Saccharomyces cerevisiae S288C: one gene and its partners. The protein of the gene in region 1 interacts with the protein of each later gene in a biochemical or structural test. Each region holds a gene or a part of one and is shown on either strand. Other genes may lie near its edges.

Region 1 (3,780 bases):
CGTACTTGTCATCTATATGTTTGAATTTTTTTAAATAATGTAAAGCCTTTTGATACTTGTCCTGTTGGATAACAGCTACTAAGCAACGTCTAAATACATCCGCTGGATTCTCACATCCAGAATCCAATAGTTTCACGCAAGTCTGTTCGACCTGCGAATGCTCGTCTTGAGACAATTGAATGTTCAATTGAGAGAGCAAATTAGTTAAATTATCTTTAGCCATTTTTTTGCTTTCTTTCATTACTCTTATTATTGATCAGAACCAACTCAACAAAGTAAATCTGCTACTTTAATGCATAGCAATTTTCAGCTTGTTTTCCTCTTTTCTTTCGACAAAGGCGAAAGAAAAGAGGAAAAAATGAACAAGAAAATTTAATCAAATATCGCAATATACGATGCCGAAAAGAGTAATGAAATATTAGAAATGGATACTTAGTATTATGTGATATGTGCGGGAGTGATTAATAGTGCCCTTCAAACGATTCTGTCATACTTTAATTCTATAACCGCTTATTTTCCCAAAAGGGCTTGTTTCTTAGTATCCAAGGATGCATTTTTACGTCTCCAAGGCGCATTCTATCTTTGGGGTCGTATTTTAGTAGTTTAAGTATTAAATCTTGCGCATCCTGAGAAATGTTACTGGGCATTTTGATATCCAGTGCTGCTATCCTTTTATATGTAGTATCTTTCATTTCTTCTTCGAACGGAGGGGCACCGGTCAGTAGTTCAAACGCCAGGACGCCAAGAGCCCATGCATCTATAGTGTGATCATATTCCCTTGACTCCACCATTTCTGGAGAAAGGTAGTCAATTGTCCCACAGACAGTTTTCCTTCTATTTTCTGGCGGATTTATTATACTCCATCCGAAGTCCGTTAACTTAATGACATTATTGAACCCTATTAGTATATTTTCAGGTTTAATATCTCTATGAATAATATTCTTTTTATGCATATAATCTAGGGCATTGGCAATTTGATAAATATAATCTGATGCTAAAATATCGTTGAAGGGTCCGTGTAACCTCAATAGTTTATACATTTCCCCATTGACTAAGTATTCCATTAGCAGGTACACTCTTTTTTCATCATGAAAATAGCCGTATGATTTAGTTAGATTCGGATGATTTAGCGATGTTTGTATTTCTACCTCCCTTCTGAATTGTTTCTGTAAATTATACTTTATTATTTCTTCCTTCTCCATTACTTTCAGTGCGCAAATATATCCTGTACTCCTGTGCCGAACGCAATAAACTTTACCGAATTTACCCTTTCCTAATTTCTTCCCCAGTTCAAAGTCATCGAGTGATAGGGATTTAAATTTAGGTAGCTTCTTATTTTCGTGTATCATTTTGGAAGAAGTCGCTTTCCTTATAGGTGATGGAATTTTGGAGCTTTCCATATCCAAAAACTTCTTATTGTTTACAGGTAATCTGTTCAATTTTTCTCTTACAGGTGAAGGTATTTTTGAATTCGGGTTTCTTTGCTGCGGCGAATGGGATATTCTCCATGGTTTATTGATCCTGGACGTATTTGGTCTTGTTGTGGTCTTTTTCGATGGCGAATTAGCGTTTAGTTTGATATTTACTAAACTATTGCGTTGCATTCCCTTTTTACTTCTTTCTTTTGTTGTATTTCAAAATCCCAGTTTTTTTTGCGCTAAGAATGATCTTGCTTTGTTTATGCATTCACTTGAGCAATTGCATCAGTTGGCCTTAGCTCAAGGTTTTTATAGAATGGTAAACAAATTAAGCGCTTTACAGGAAAAACGCGTGAAGTTAAACTTACTGTTCAATAAGCAATGCTGTATCGGAAAATGGAGCACAAAGGTTATAGATACAAGAGAAGACTATCATGTCATCAGATGCGTTAAAAGCACTACTTCAGTGGGGTGCGTCATTTGGTGTAATAGTGCCAGAGGAACTCAAGTTTTTATATACCGATCTTAAGGGCATTATTTGCGTATGTGAAAAAGATATAGACAATCCCAGCATCAAGATTCCTCCCGAGATTGTCATTTCAAGGAATCTGCCCATGAAGTTTTTTGGGCTAAGTGAATCCACTAAGAATATCAACGGATGGCTGAAGTTGTTCTTCGCAAAAATAAAATTTGATAGGGATAATGATACTATCGTGGACAATGTTCGTGTGAATGATAAATTTAAACCTTACTTGGATGCATTGCCTTCCCGCCTAAATTCGCCCTTGGTCTGGAACCCAAGCGAGTTGAAGCGTTTATCATCTACAAACATAGGGAATTCGATTCATGAAAAGTTCGAAGGTATATTTAAAGAGTGGTTTGAACTGGTCAGTTCTTCAGATATGTTTGACTTGGAAAGAGTGGCAGATGATGTGCAGACCTTCCATAATCTCGATGAGTTGACATATGAGGCTTTGTATGAGAAGATTTTGAAGATAACAGAACTTCAAAGACCAACTATCTGGTATTCTTTTCCTGCATTTTTATGGTCGCACCTTATATTCATTTCAAGAGCATTCCCTGAATATGTGCTAAACAGAAACTGTCCTGACAACTCTATTGTACTGCTTCCCATCGTCGATCTTCTAAATCATGACTACCGTTCCAAAGTCAAATGGTATCCTGAAAATGGGTGGTTCTGTTATGAAAAAATCGGTACCGCCTCCCAATCACGAGAACTATCAAATAATTATGGCGGTAAGGGAAATGAGGAGTTACTCTCTGGATATGGATTTGTTTTAGAAGACAACATATTTGACTCAGTGGCTTTGAAAGTTAAATTGCCATTAGATGTGGTATCTACAATTCTTGAAACAGAACCTAGTTTGAAGCTGCCCTTACTTTCGGATTACACCACTTATGCTTTTGAAAACAAAGACTGTGTCCAGCAAGAAAAGAAGGCTACTCGTAGTGCTACAGACTACATCAATGGGGTGACTTACTTCATTAACATACAAAATGAACAATGTTTAGAACCATTACTGGATCTTTTTACCTACCTTTCTAAGGCCGAAGAGGAGGATCTACACGATTTGAGAGCCCGTTTGCAGGGTATACAAATGCTACGAAATGCATTGCAGAGCAAACTCAACAGCATTACTGGACCACCTGCAACTGATGACTCTTATGCAATTGATCCTTACAGAGTCTATTGTGCTGACGTTTATACTAAAGGTCAAAAACAAATTTTAAAAGAGGCTTTAACGAGGTTGAAAAAACTAGAAAAAACAATGCTGTCAGAGAACAAGCACCAATTGCTAACCATGAGCAAAATTCTTAAGAATGACCCTGCTTTTGCAGAAACTGAATTACCTTCGCTGTTCAGCAACGAAGATGGTGAAGAGGTCATCTTTGAATCTACTTATGATTTATTGATACTTTGGATTCTACTGAAAACGAAAAAGAATTCTTACCCCACCAAATATGAATGGGTTGGACAGCAGTATACTAATTTCAAGCAAACTGCATATATTTCAGATGATGCCAAGGCTTTCCATACTGCATACTTCGAGAAGCAAGACGATGTGGATTTGGCCGAAGTAGATCATGCGATTCAGTTTGTAGTAGACAATTCCTTTACCAGAACTTCATCTACAACCGAAGAGACTATTTTAGTACGTAAGTAGCTTTTCCTTATAGAATGTTAGAGTAGAGTACGTAATTACATCTGCACTTATTTAATAAATGCACTTACTAACAAACTGGGTTCTCATTGGTCAGAAGTGTCCCGGGTATCCGAATATGGCTTCGATGAAATTTTTCGCCATGGAGCTGCGATGCCCGATATTTGTGTATAAAACAT
Region 2 (3,206 bases), on another chromosome or scaffold:
CTCCCGTCTCTTCCATAAAAGGCAAATTCTATGTAAAGATTCTAGGCAATTAATGACCTGTTCGCTTGGGTTATTCTTCAAAGCACAAATCAATATCTTTCTTCCTCCTTTTGCTTTAACCGTTGTCCAGTTTCTTGTCAATTTGGTTTGCCATACATAACGAAAAAAAAATGACAGTTATAGAAAATATTACCCGAATTTTCCCGCACTTTTATTGAAGACGTTATATAAAGGGGTACTAACTAATTTAAAAATCATTCATGACTCGCATAGTGGCACAGTAATAGCCTCGACCGCCTGTCCGTATCTTCTTTTATATAGATATATCATGTTTCGTTGTAATGCGGGTTGTGCCCATGCACTGCTGATATGTGTACTGCCTTCCTCCCTATTGCTATAAAGAATCAGTCAGCTCATCAAATATTCTTCTTATCCATAACTCACGCATGCTAGCGATATATTTTGTGAGGAGGATAATTCTTTGGTTGGGTTGGGCGTAGTCATCTGAAGGGGGGCCTTGTATTTATTTTTTTTTCAGTTTTCTTTGCAACAGAATGTCTGCTTTCTGTGGGTTTCCTTTCAGCACGTCCTGAGAACATTGAATTTCTGTTCTTCGTAACGGGCCCATTGACCACTCTTGCAGCACCACTTCCGAGTGATATTCGATTATTTGGATGCAGATCTCCCAAATTAACAACATTGTCGTTTTCGATGGGTAAATCAGCGCCGGAAGCAATGCTATTTCTGATTGTATGTAAGATGGACTTTCTTCTCAGTTTACTGTTGGTATTATTATTCAAACGCGTGGTTTTAGTCACGTGACCTTGAGATGATTTGGACATACCGATATTTGTTGGATTTAGAACAAAAGAAGCTTCACTACTAGTATCGTCTTCATAGTCCTCCTCATTCTCTACTTGTAAGTTGTTGCCTATCTTGGAGGGCTTCCTCTTGTCTCTGTTGTCATATGACCTGTATTTTCTTACTTGTGAGGAGGGAAATAGCGGCTGGTTAAACTGTTTGTTCTGAGATGCCTTGGCCAAATCATTTTCACCTTGTTCGTCTTTTTTTCTTTTAATCCCGCGTTCCATATTGGAGAGTTCCATTACTAAGTTATTTTTCTCATCTTCCAACGATTTCAATTGTTTAATAGCGATCAAATCGTCTTGAATATCATGAGGCGCCTGTGAGAATTCTACGCACCATGAATTGCTCATAATACCGTACAACAACGAACCTAGGGATTCATTAAGATCAGCTAAACTCTCGTGGATAAAATTTAAGCGCGTGAAATTGGAATCTAAAGTAATGATTGAATCGCTCAGTTCTCTTATTTTAGGCAACAGAAGCTGTTGTATGGTATTCTCGTTATATTCGCCAACGGAACTCGTTAATCCCTCTTGATCAGCAAATTTCATCAGGGATGAGGATTCACCCATAGACGACCTTCTTGAAGTCGGAGCGCTACCAATGGATAAACGATATTCCGTGGCAGACCTTGTGGTCCCTAATTTAGCTTTATCTTCGCTCATAGGTGAAAGTGGCAATACAAGCCTTTTCTGATATTGTTTTGGTGCAATTGCTGAGCTTATACGCTCCAAGTTTCAGTGCAATTGGACAAGTTTAACGCCAAAGGATTCATGCGTCGATAAAACATGTTTGTTTTGGCTATTATTTATCGATATTGTCCGGGCAACGCGCAATGTTCATATCTTGAGCGGCACATAAGGTATATGGATAAAAAGGTGTTAGTTATGTACAAGTTTAAATTATGTAAATGTGCCATATCCGAATCATTGTAGTTGCAAAACTAATGTGGAAAACCGTTTAGGCAGTGCTCGTGAAATTACGCGCTTCTTGGATAGAGTTCGATAGTATGGGCAGAGGAGTTTGCCGTTTACATATATTTCCTTGAATGCTTCAGTTTCTCTTTCATTAGTTGGTCTTGGGACACAACGCCCCCTCTTTTCGCCTTCCTAAGAGCCACAATGAGGAAGATTGTGCTCAAAAACGAAAGGCCATACCACGTTACCAAATATTGTAGATGGTTATTCTTTAAATCAATAGTGGGCTTCCGGCCTATGGGAACACCTGCTTTGATAAACTGTCGTTCATCGAATTCAATTGTTTGGTCTGTCGGCATTTCCTGCCTAGAACGAGGCTTCGATGTATTATTATCAACAGCTTGCGTTCCGTTTACAGCAGTCGTAGGTTCTCGTTTCCAGAACTTCCACAGGCTAGAGGTGGAATTGTTTTGTGAAGCCTCGTTTCTTGTGTGTTCCTCGATTATTGGATGGTCCTTCATGTCATACAAGGCTTGAAATTGAATGGGCGTGCACCCTGATGATCTTGCCATGTCATATATGTCTGGCACCTGCCACAATCTAGAATTTGGATCCTTTTTCGCCCATTGTAGCGAGCCTCTTTTCTTTGGAGGTCTTACTAAGCAAACCACTTTCAAGTGTTCTTCTTGAGGCAACGACAAATGGTGTAAATTTCTTGAGTCAGGAGCAACTTTTTCTTCACTTATCCACCCTCTTTCTATCAGAACTTTCTCACCGGTGTCATCTCTAATGAACGGTGTAAACAGAAAATAACCCTTTTCTCCATTTTTCTTTCTTGGACCAACAAACATCTCTTCATTGTGAAGGAAGTGTCCGGTAAGTATAACTTTACGGTATTCCCAATCCTCGCACATGTCAGGTGTAAATGACTTAGGAAGTGGTATTGGTTCATAAGTAAGTTTAGTTTCGCATGCCGCAATCAGCTTGGTTTTCCACTTCAATCTCCTTACTTGCCAAGTTCCCAAATAGAAGGATATTATTGGCATCGCGAACATCAGACCCAGAACAATTTTCTTGCCAAAGGATCTTTCTCTTCGAGAATCATCATTTGGGCTCTTACCTGTCTTGATTGGTTTCCAGTCTACAGTTGACGTTATGATGCCTCGGTACTGTTGATTTCTTGAAGCTAAGAGGTACGTGGATTTGCCAATAGCATTCTTAGTCGGAATTGATGCAGCGATTGAAAACCAACGGTAAGTGGACCTGGCGCCTAGTAGAGACATTGCTTTCCTCTTTTATTAAATCCTGAGTATGGGTTACTGAATGCAAAACGGTTAAGATGGCCCTCTGTTTTCAGTAGTCGGCGTTATAGGTGAAAAATATTTCATCATTGCATAAGAATCCCTTAAATATACTCGGCTA
Region 3 (5,374 bases), on another chromosome or scaffold:
ATCCTCTTCGTCATCCTCATCATCGTCGTCCTCATTGTCAGCACCCTCTTGTTCTTCTTGTTCTTGCTCTTTATCACCAGTTTCCTCGTCCCTAGCTTTCCGTATTTCATTGATTCTCCTCCTAACGATCTCTACAATATCTGTCCATTCTCTCATACCACCCATACCAATATCTCCGCATATTAATACCTTTTCCACCGGTTTCAAAACTTGGATGAACGGATAGTCTTGCACTAAACTCGTCAGGTGTTTCTTTGTCATAGGATTGATATACATGAATGTATTCATTGCAGGCGCAATCAACACTGGGGTCAGTGGTGACCAATCTCTCATCACAGAAGTTAGCAAATTGTTACATATACCATTGGCCAGTTTAGCAAGTGTGTTAGCTGACAAAGGCGCAATCAGGAAAATATCAGCCCATTTTCTTAATTCATGGTGCAATATCAAGTTCAGACTCAAGCTAGTATCATTCTTATTCACAGCGTCGAATACCCAAGCGTCTTCCTCCCTCCAAATTTTAACGTGTGTTGACATTTTGAGCCCTTTCAAAAAATGCTCAGCGGGTTTTGTGACAATCAACTGAATAGAGATTTTCTCAGGCCCATATATCTTGAAAAGTTTATCAATAATTAGAGGTACTTTTATTGTGGCAACTGAGCCCGTCGCACCAATGAGAATGTGGAATTTCTTGTCGTCTTCCTTCTGAAAGAACTCTGTGAAGGGTACACGAGGCCCTGTGGGTGCAGTGATAACTTCCTTGTTTTTATGTGTGGAGTTATTAGCCGATAATGGCGCCGCCTTTGCAGTGATAGGTTTAGAAGCGTTTGACTTGGGATTGAAGTAGATAAAATCACCTGGCATATGAACGATAGAATTTTTTTCCATCGAAGGTGAATCTACTTCATCTTCGCTATTGCTCGTACCACTCGATACCGAATGTTTCCTGATATCAGTACCATCATTAGTAGTGTTCTCCTTAAATATTGCATTCGCTATCCTCTCCTTTTCGTCTATCAGTTGCTGTCTTTCAGTTTGCTTTTTTTGCACTTGCTCCTGAATTTGCTTCACCTCTTCTTGCTGTTTTGCTCGTTGATTTTGCTCCTGCAGTTGTGCCTTTTGCTGCTCTTCTTGTTGTTGATTTTGCTGCAGTTGTTCCTGCTGCTGCTGCTGCTTTCCAGGTTTATTGGATATCGAATATCTATGATACGGCAACCTTTCCACCTCGGGCACCGTAAATGAAACAGCAGAAGGTAATGAAGGTGAAAACCTTTTTTGCTGGCCATTTGTATTAGCTGGCATACTGGTGTTGATCTGTATTTCATGGCCATCTTTGTTCCTTTCACTATTTTGCTTCAGATTGGCAAAAGAGAAATCCCTCAAATTTGTGCTATAATCGTTTTTGTAAATATTCCTCCTATTAGAGTTGGATTTTGATTGATCTTCATGACTATCAGATCTTTCGAAATTTGATTCATCGTGAATACTTTTTCTTCTCTCCTTGTTGGTCAAAATTGAAACCGGCACTTGTGTTGTAGGCAAGGATGAAATTAAGTTAACTCCCTGCTTACCGTTCATATTCTGATCTGAGTTCACTTTTTCATCCGTCATCACACCTAATAACTCTTTGCTGGTCCTTTAGACTTTTATTTAAATATGCTAACTAAGTGTTACTTTACTGTTCTTTCTCTTTTTCTGCTTTTTGTTCTCTCATCTACGAAAGTTCGGTGCGAAATTTTACGTGATTCATTTTCTTACAGAAAAGTTCACATGTTTAACAGTATAAGCGTATGGACCTAGTTATATTTCTTCAGTACATAGCATGCATAATGAGAATATTCACATCATAATTACCCAAAAGTGTCAAACGTACTGTCTAATTCTTTGTCGTTGTCATCGTTAGCGTCTTCTGAAACGGTCACTTGAACGAAGAACATTTTGGCTTCATCATTCCCTCTATTGGCAATCGCGTACTCGTTGAATGCCGGTATTTGGAAAGTGGAACCTTTAACGCTCAAGAACTTGTTCTTACATACAGTTACTTCGACTATTCCCTGTATCACGTGGAACGTAATATATGTCCTAAATGAGTTGCTTAATTTCTTTTGTCCAGAAATAGCTGGTAGTTTTAATATGCCGCTAGCAAAATATTCTTTATGCTTATCGAACATTATCTCAAGGGCAAAATTCTCGTCCTTCGTGTCTTTTACTTGTTCAGTTTGCGACAAATTGGGCGCGAATGCAATAATTTCATCCTTAGTTTCCTCCTTAGTGTCGCTAATTTTCACATTAGCTTCCAGTATTCCATGTTTCAGCCACTCGCCATTTTCTATGCCTCCAGATTCTATCCTTTCTATAATATCCTCGTTGGGATCTTCTGGAATCAAATTTTCCTTTGCATTTGGATCCTTCTTTGGCCTTCCTCTTGGTCTCCCCGTAGGTACGTAGTTGTAAGGTCTGGTTGGTGTAGGTTTTTTTTTTTGTTTCTTCCTTCTTTGTGCTGCCAATATCTCCTCTTCGTCTTCAGATTCATCATATGTGACAATTTTGTCTATGTCAAGAACGGGTTTATTGGACTTCCTCTTATATACTATTTTTTCGTTCCTCCAATACTGCAAAGGCGCCACCTTGACTCTTGTAGATTTCCGAAGCCCGTTTCTATCAATTATTGAATCTGTACGAACCACATCACTCGCTTGTCGTCTTATATAATCATCTTCATTGTCATTTGTGTTCACCTCAGCCTCCTCTTCTACTTCTTGATAGGTGTTATCTCCATCTGAATCACTGGCTGAATCCGAGCCTGAATCCAAAGATGAGTCACTTTCAATGTAATCACCGTCCTCTTCACTTTCAGGTATAAACCCGTCATCTTCTAATTCGTCTTCTAATAATGCGTTATCAGATGTGTTTAAAGAAGTGTTTACTCTATCATCGTCATCCTCATCAGCAACCAAATCAGGTACATCTGAATAAACATTCTTATTAGTGATTCTATCAGGTGTCAACCTTACAGAAGGGCTTTCTGAAGTGTCAAGGCTATACCGAGTGGAGTACTTTCTTTTATATGTAGGTTTACTCAATTTCTGTGTGATTGGTGTGGCAAAATCATTGCCTCTGATATCATTTTCTTCTTGTTCTGGTTCTTCCTCAATAGGCTCGAAATCATTGGCTGGACTCAGGAAGTTTGATTGATGGCTTAACAAAGATGATCGTCTTGATCCATCGCCTTTCCCAGATGGGCTTTGGACAACTTCATCATCTTGAGATTTATATGACTGTAGAAATGGCGGTAATACGTTCTTAGTATCGCCATTTAACGTTGATGGTAAGAAAAGCGATGATTTTCTTCTGCTTTTCCTTCTCATACTGATAAGACTAGTTTCATCATCTTTGAAAAAATCATCAATATTTTCCATGCTGTATTCATCTTTGGGTATATCTTGCTTAACATCAATACCAGTTTTACGGGACTTAAGCCCCAATTTCATATAATCCATGAGTGAAGTGCTGTCCTGTGCTAATGTCTAACTTATTTGTTTAACGTATGTATTTTTCTAACATTCATTTATTTACATCACCATTTCTAACGCGTTATATTATTTTTCTCGAAATTGAGAAAAAACCCAATGCAGTTTAAAGAAGCCTAGCGTTTATAACCTTTATAGAAAAATCAGATAGGTTTTATTTCTTCTTCTTACCCTCAATTCTGAAGTAGGAAGATTCTTCCCAAAATATGTAGTGATTTTTTTCAAGAAAACTTTTAACCTGCAGTCGAACCTTTGAGATCCCGCCGATGCTGTGGATACCTCTACCAGTTACCACGATTAACGGGCTTACAAACTGTACTTTTGAGCCATATGAGTTTATGTTGTGGGAGTTCAACTCTCGTTCTGCTACCTCTTTGGACCACCACTTATTTAATGCAAGTTTCAGTGTTGAAACCGCTTCACTGGGAAGAAAACCATGGAAATCCAATCTGTATGTTTGAAACAGGTTATTTATAACCGGCACAGCTCCCTCGGGGGTTTCTTTGTCATGAAGGGGCAATTTATAAGTATTTCCTACCTCATTTCTGCGGGAAATCTGCGGTGTTGAAAATTTGGGTAAATGTTGCTTACAATTATCTCTGGATGTCAAGGTAAAACCTTCGTCAAAGTTCCAAGTTTTCGTAATATTCTTGTCATCTTCGATCAATAAGGACGATATGTTCAACACCTTTACAACATCTCCATCATAAAATTGCAGGCATTTTTGCAAAAATTCATGGTTTATGGCTTTGAGATCGCGATTATCTGCAACTAATTCATTTAACTCAACCATCTGCGGACTATCCAAGGAGTGCTTATAACTCCTTGGCCTTTTGAGACTCTCTTGAGCAACATTTGCGGATTCTTTACCCTTTTTCAAAACGTGGGCAAGCCCCGTCGATGATTGAACTCGACCACCTCTCACAGTCGTATTAGGACTCCGTTTTACTTTGAAAGTATCCACATCTTTTTTAAAATCCCTTTTGTCGTAATAATCCAAAATGATTTTGATGATCGCCTTTACTGTATCAAAACCATTTTCGGCTAAGTATTCCTGCGCAATATTTTTGGGAGCGTCGGTAAACTTTATTATACTCTCTATGTGATCGTTTGTTGATTCCCAATTATTTTTCTTTTCGTTCCTTTTTACGCTATCAGGAGAATTTGCTTGATTGTCTTTAAGTTTTTGCAGGGTTTCATAATTCAGAAGATCAGAAATAGTCGATTCTACGGACTTCTCATTTATTACAAACTGATCTTTTATAACGCTGCAATCAAGCTGAGGAAACATGTCGTACAGTTGATGTAATTCATTATCAACTGTAGACTTATCGTCGTTTTCTTTTAACAGCAAGCCTATCGTTAAATCCAAATCATTATTGTTTTCAAGTAAATGTACTTGTAATTTGGATTTGGAAATAGCTGGAAACATGTCCATCAAGATTGACAATTTAGATTCATGGTCATCATTGTTATCCATACTCATTGCATGATCTTATATGCACGATAAATGAGGTGTCATAATTGCTTTATATTGATATACTGAAGGCGAATATCGCTGTTGAAATTTGAATTTTTTCGCATTTTTTTTTTTAACAGTGAATATCTTGGTGATAGAGGCAATTTCCAAACTGTGAAAGCAATATATCCTGATACATAATTCAGTACGTATGTTTGTTGATTTATATTTCATACGTATTCCTCTACGGTTTCAAACGTCTCCCCTGAGGCTTGTCTGTGAGTGTCCAGCGACGTTAAAGTAACATATGTTTGTTCTACGATATCTAGAATAAGTCTCCTTATAGTGTCAGTCTTTTCCATTCAGGATCGAGCACAACAGTTTT
Region 4 (4,542 bases), on another chromosome or scaffold:
GTGTATGTATATTATAGTCTTTATCATCAATGGCATCCCAACAATTATCTTAAAATTCACCCATTTGTCAAGATAATGGTTGATTCTTATTTAGACACAATAAAAAAACTTGAAGACATCTGCTTCTGAGCTGTAGAGGTACCAATTCGACGAAATATAAATATTTAAAACTAAGAGAAAAAATCCAACAAATAACGTTCCGTGATAGTTTAATGGTCAGAATGGGCGCTTGTCGCGTGCCAGATCGGGGTTCAATTCCCCGTCGCGGAGATTTTTTATTTTGCTTTTTATTCCTCCTGTAATATCGCTTTATACGGAAAAACTGAATTCTTTCATTATGATGAGTTCGAGAGTAACCATTTTTACTTCGTGCAACGATGCATATATTTATCTTTTACGTGAAGGGAATTCCCAAGCGTTCCCTAATGCAGTCGGGAGCAAAATGGTCAACTTGAACACTATCCCACCCAAAAATGGCAGGGACTACTACATTGCGCTTGGACTTGAAGGTTCTGCAAATAAACTGGGCGTTGGTATAGTTAAGCATCCGCTTCTGCCTAAACATGCCAACAGCGATCTATCTTATGATTGCGAAGCTGAGATGCTTTCTAATATTAGAGACACATATGTCACACCTCCTGGGGAGGGATTTTTGCCTCGAGACACGGCAAGGCATCACAGAAATTGGTGCATAAGACTCATAAAACAAGCACTGGCCGAAGCTGACATCAAAAGCCCGACACTAGACATTGATGTAATTTGCTTTACCAAAGGTCCCGGCATGGGGGCCCCTCTGCATTCAGTTGTCATCGCCGCCAGAACGTGCTCCTTACTGTGGGACGTGCCACTGGTGGGAGTAAACCACTGCATTGGTCACATCGAAATGGGGAGAGAAATCACTAAAGCTCAAAATCCTGTGGTACTGTATGTAAGTGGTGGAAATACACAAGTTATTGCATACTCGGAAAAAAGGTACCGTATCTTTGGTGAAACGCTTGATATTGCTATCGGTAATTGTCTTGATAGATTTGCAAGAACTCTGAAGATACCTAATGAGCCCTCGCCTGGCTACAACATCGAGCAGTTAGCTAAAAAAGCCCCTCACAAAGAAAACTTGGTAGAACTTCCCTATACAGTAAAGGGGATGGATCTTTCGATGAGTGGTATATTGGCTTCCATCGATTTACTTGCCAAGGATCTATTTAAGGGCAATAAGAAAAATAAGATCCTATTCGACAAGACAACGGGCGAGCAAAAAGTCACTGTAGAGGATCTTTGCTACTCTCTGCAAGAGAACCTATTCGCCATGCTAGTTGAAATAACAGAAAGAGCTATGGCTCACGTTAACTCCAATCAAGTTTTGATCGTAGGCGGTGTTGGTTGTAACGTGCGATTACAAGAAATGATGGCGCAAATGTGTAAAGACAGGGCCAATGGGCAAGTACATGCTACAGATAATAGGTTTTGTATCGATAACGGAGTTATGATTGCCCAAGCAGGACTACTAGAGTATAGAATGGGTGGGATCGTGAAGGACTTTTCTGAAACTGTTGTTACGCAGAAATTCAGAACCGATGAAGTATACGCAGCCTGGCGTGATTAACGATTTTTGTTACAGTTAGCCTAATGTTCACACTACGAATATATATATATATTTATATATGCCATACACCTTACATTTACAGCTCAGTGTATAACCTTGTGGAAGCGCGAAAATAAGCAAGAGACATTTGAAAATAATCAATAAACAAAGCTCAAAAAAATTAGATCATCACCTAACAAAATAAGACGTGGCAATTACAGAATGGGGGAAAGCTTGGATAGATGTATAGATGATATTAATAGGGCGGTGGACTCTATGTCCACACTCTATTTCAAGCCACCAGGAATTTTTCATAATGCCATCCTACAGGGAGCAAGCAACAAGGCAAGCATTAGAAAAGACATTACTAGACTAATAAAGGACTGTAACCACGACGAGGCGTATCTTCTGTTCAAAGTCAACCCTGAGAAACAATCCGTTTCACGTAGAGACGGCAAGGAGGGAGTATTCGACTATGTTATTAAACGAGATACGGACATGAAAAGAAATAGAAGGCTGGGCAGACCAGGGGAAAAACCGATCATCCATGTGCCCAAGGAAGTATATTTGAACAAAGATCGTCTTGATTTGAACAATAAAAGGAGAAGAACCGCCACTACAAGTGGCGGTGGCTTGAACGGTTTTATTTTTGATACCGATCTTATAGGATCCTCTGTCATTTCAAATTCAAGTTCAGGTACATTCAAAGCATTATCAGCCGTGTTCAAGGATGATCCGCAAATTCAAAGGCTCCTATATGCCTTGGAAAATGGAAGCGTGCTCATGGAAGAAGAATCCAATAACCAAAGAAGAAAAACCATCTTTGTCGAGGATTTCCCTACTGATTTAATTCTTAAAGTTATGGCCGAAGTAACAGATTTATGGCCACTAACAGAGTTCAAGCAGGATTACGACCAATTGTACCATAATTATGAACAACTTTCTTCCAAATTGCGCTTCATCAAGAAAGAAGTTTTGCTTCAAGATGATCGCTTAAAGACTATGTCACAGTACCATCCTTCTTCTTCTCACGACGTTGCTAAGATTATTCGAAAAGAAAAAGATGAAATTAGGCGGCTAGAAATGGAGATAGCCAACTTGCAAGAGTAGGGGAGCACTTCTCCTCAAGAATAGATATTTCCTTTGTCCTAATTGCATACATAGGCCACTGCAAATCATATAATTATGTATTACCTTACATCTAAATGTATAAAACCAACTGAGCGGATCCACCATGGGTCTGTCTCCTGTTAAAGCATGTAGCTTCATGTTTCTCACATAAACTTTCCTCATCGTAATGGAAAAAAAAAATAGTCATAAAAAAAAAACTAACCATGAATGACATATAAGATTACCACGAGCGAGAGTAAAAAAGAGTATCTCTATATGGGTTCGGGCGATACTAGAGGAGAAAGCTCTCTGGTAGCTAAACCAATCGAAATTATACTTAATAAGCTACCACATGCCATACTAGCGCAACAACAATTTCAAAAATATATAACGAGCCCCATCTACAGATATCTTTCCAAACTTCTACTGTTCAGAGAGGTGGCTTGGCCCGAAAGTACAAAAGATACCCAGAAAGGACAAGTAGGGATATTTTCCTTTCAAAACAATTATGCAGACTCTGCAACAACTTTCAGAATACTTGCTCATTTAGATGAGCAGCGATACCCGCTACCCAACGGTGCCGCTGAAAAGAATTTACCTTCTTTATTTGAAGGATTCAAAGCTACCGTTTCCATCATTCAACAGAGACTGTTGTTAGACAATGTAGACGGGGCCACGAATAGTGATAAGGAAAAATACGTTCAATTGCCGGATATTAATACTGGTTTTGTGAATAAAACGTACTCTAGAATTGACCTAACACATTTACTTGAGGATGTAGAAACTAACGTGGAAAATCTGTCAATCAATAAAACGTTAGAGATGGATGAGTTGACCAGATTAGATTCCATGATCAACGAACTAGAATCCAGGAAATTAAAAATCCTGGAAAGGGTTAAGCACATTGATAGTAAGTCTACCAATCTTGAGAATGATGTAACACTGATAAAGGATAGAATAAATTTTATCGAGGAATACAATTTGGAAGCTGATCGTGAACAGAGCTTACGGAAGCAAATGGAAGAAGAAAGATCATCTGAAGCGTCGTCCTTCACGCAAAATGAAGAAGCCATATCGTCGTTATGTGATGTTGAAAGTAAGGATACGAGATTAAAAGATTTTTACAAGATGCCCCATGAAAAAAGCCACGATAAAAACAGGCAAATTATCTCAGAAACATATAGCCGAAATACCACGGCTTTCAGAATGACAATACCCCATGGCGAACATGGAAACAGCATAACCGCATTAGACTTTGATACACCATGGGGAACCTTGTGCTCATCAAGCTACCAAGATCGTATAGTAAAAGTGTGGGATTTGAACCATGGGATACAAGTTGGAGAGCTGCCTGGTCACCTTGCTACTGTTAATTGCATGCAAATAGATAAGAAAAATTACAATATGTTGATTACTGGAAGTAAGGATGCCACTCTGAAGTTATGGGACTTAAATCTGAGTAGAGAAATATATTTGGACCATAGTCCATTGAAGGAGAAGACAGAAGAAATTGTTACACCATGTATCCATAATTTTGAGTTACATAAAGACGAAATCACAGCCCTGTCTTTTGATTCTGAAGCTTTGGTTAGCGGATCTAGGGACAAAAAAATATTCCACTGGGATTTAACGACGGGCAAATGTATTCAGCAACTTGACCTTATCTTCACACCTACACATAGCGACATTAAAATGCCTGCACGTTCATTAAACAATGGTGCATGTTTACTTGGCACAGAAGCACCAATGATAGGAGCCCTCCAATGTTACAACTCTGCATTAGCAACAGGAACAAAAGATGGCATTGTGCGACTATGGGATCTAAGAGTTGGCAAACCGGTGAGATTACT

Evidence for each region.
Region 2: of the proteins of IPL1 (region 1) and DAM1, one has a biochemical effect on the other in vitro, tested with the Saccharomyces cerevisiae proteins (7 studies listed by BioGRID).
Region 3: of the proteins of IPL1 (region 1) and MIF2, one has a biochemical effect on the other in vitro, tested with the Saccharomyces cerevisiae proteins (2 studies listed by BioGRID).
Region 4: of the proteins of IPL1 (region 1) and SPC34, one has a biochemical effect on the other in vitro, tested with the Saccharomyces cerevisiae proteins (2 studies listed by BioGRID).

What each region holds. Positions count from the first base shown.
Region 1 is NC_001148.4:155,990-159,769, forward strand, and holds IPL1 (aurora kinase), read right to left. Parts: upstream 1,605-3,780; coding exon 501-1,604; downstream 1-500. Other genes in the region: signal recognition particle subunit SRP72, read right to left, coding at 1-223; RKM1 (protein-lysine N-methyltransferase), read left to right, coding at 1,853-3,604. UniProt on the Saccharomyces cerevisiae protein: Component of the chromosomal passenger complex (CPC), a complex that acts as a key regulator of chromosome segregation and cytokinesis.
Region 2 is NC_001139.9:717,219-720,424, reverse strand, and holds DAM1 (Dam1p), read right to left. Parts: upstream 1,533-3,206; coding exon 501-1,532; downstream 1-500. Other genes in the region: chromatin-remodeling histone chaperone SPT6, read right to left, coding at 1-16; cytochrome oxidase assembly protein SHY1, read right to left, coding at 1,898-3,067. UniProt on the Saccharomyces cerevisiae protein: Component of the DASH complex that connects microtubules with kinetochores and couples microtubule depolymerisation to chromosome movement; it is involved in retrieving kinetochores to the spindle poles before their re-orientation on the spindle in early mitosis and allows microtubule depolymerization to pull chromosomes apart and resist detachment during anaphase.
Region 3 is NC_001143.9:271,520-276,893, reverse strand, and holds MIF2 (Mif2p), read right to left. Parts: upstream 3,501-5,374; coding exon 1,851-3,500; downstream 1-1,850. Other genes in the region: phosphopantothenoylcysteine decarboxylase complex subunit CAB3, read right to left, coding at 1-1,611; CUE2 (Cue2p), read right to left, coding at 3,685-5,016. UniProt on the Saccharomyces cerevisiae protein: Component of the kinetochore, a multiprotein complex that assembles on centromeric DNA and attaches chromosomes to spindle microtubules, mediating chromosome segregation and sister chromatid segregation during meiosis and mitosis.
Region 4 is NC_001143.9:509,060-513,601, reverse strand, and holds SPC34 (Spc34p), read left to right. Parts: upstream 1-1,804; coding exon 1,805-2,692; downstream 2,693-4,542. Other genes in the region: KAE1 (tRNA N6-adenosine threonylcarbamoyltransferase), read left to right, coding at 443-1,603; CAF4 (Caf4p), read left to right, coding at 2,969-4,542. UniProt on the Saccharomyces cerevisiae protein: Component of the DASH complex that connects microtubules with kinetochores and couples microtubule depolymerisation to chromosome movement; it is involved in retrieving kinetochores to the spindle poles before their re-orientation on the spindle in early mitosis and allows microtubule depolymerization to pull chromosomes apart and resist detachment during anaphase.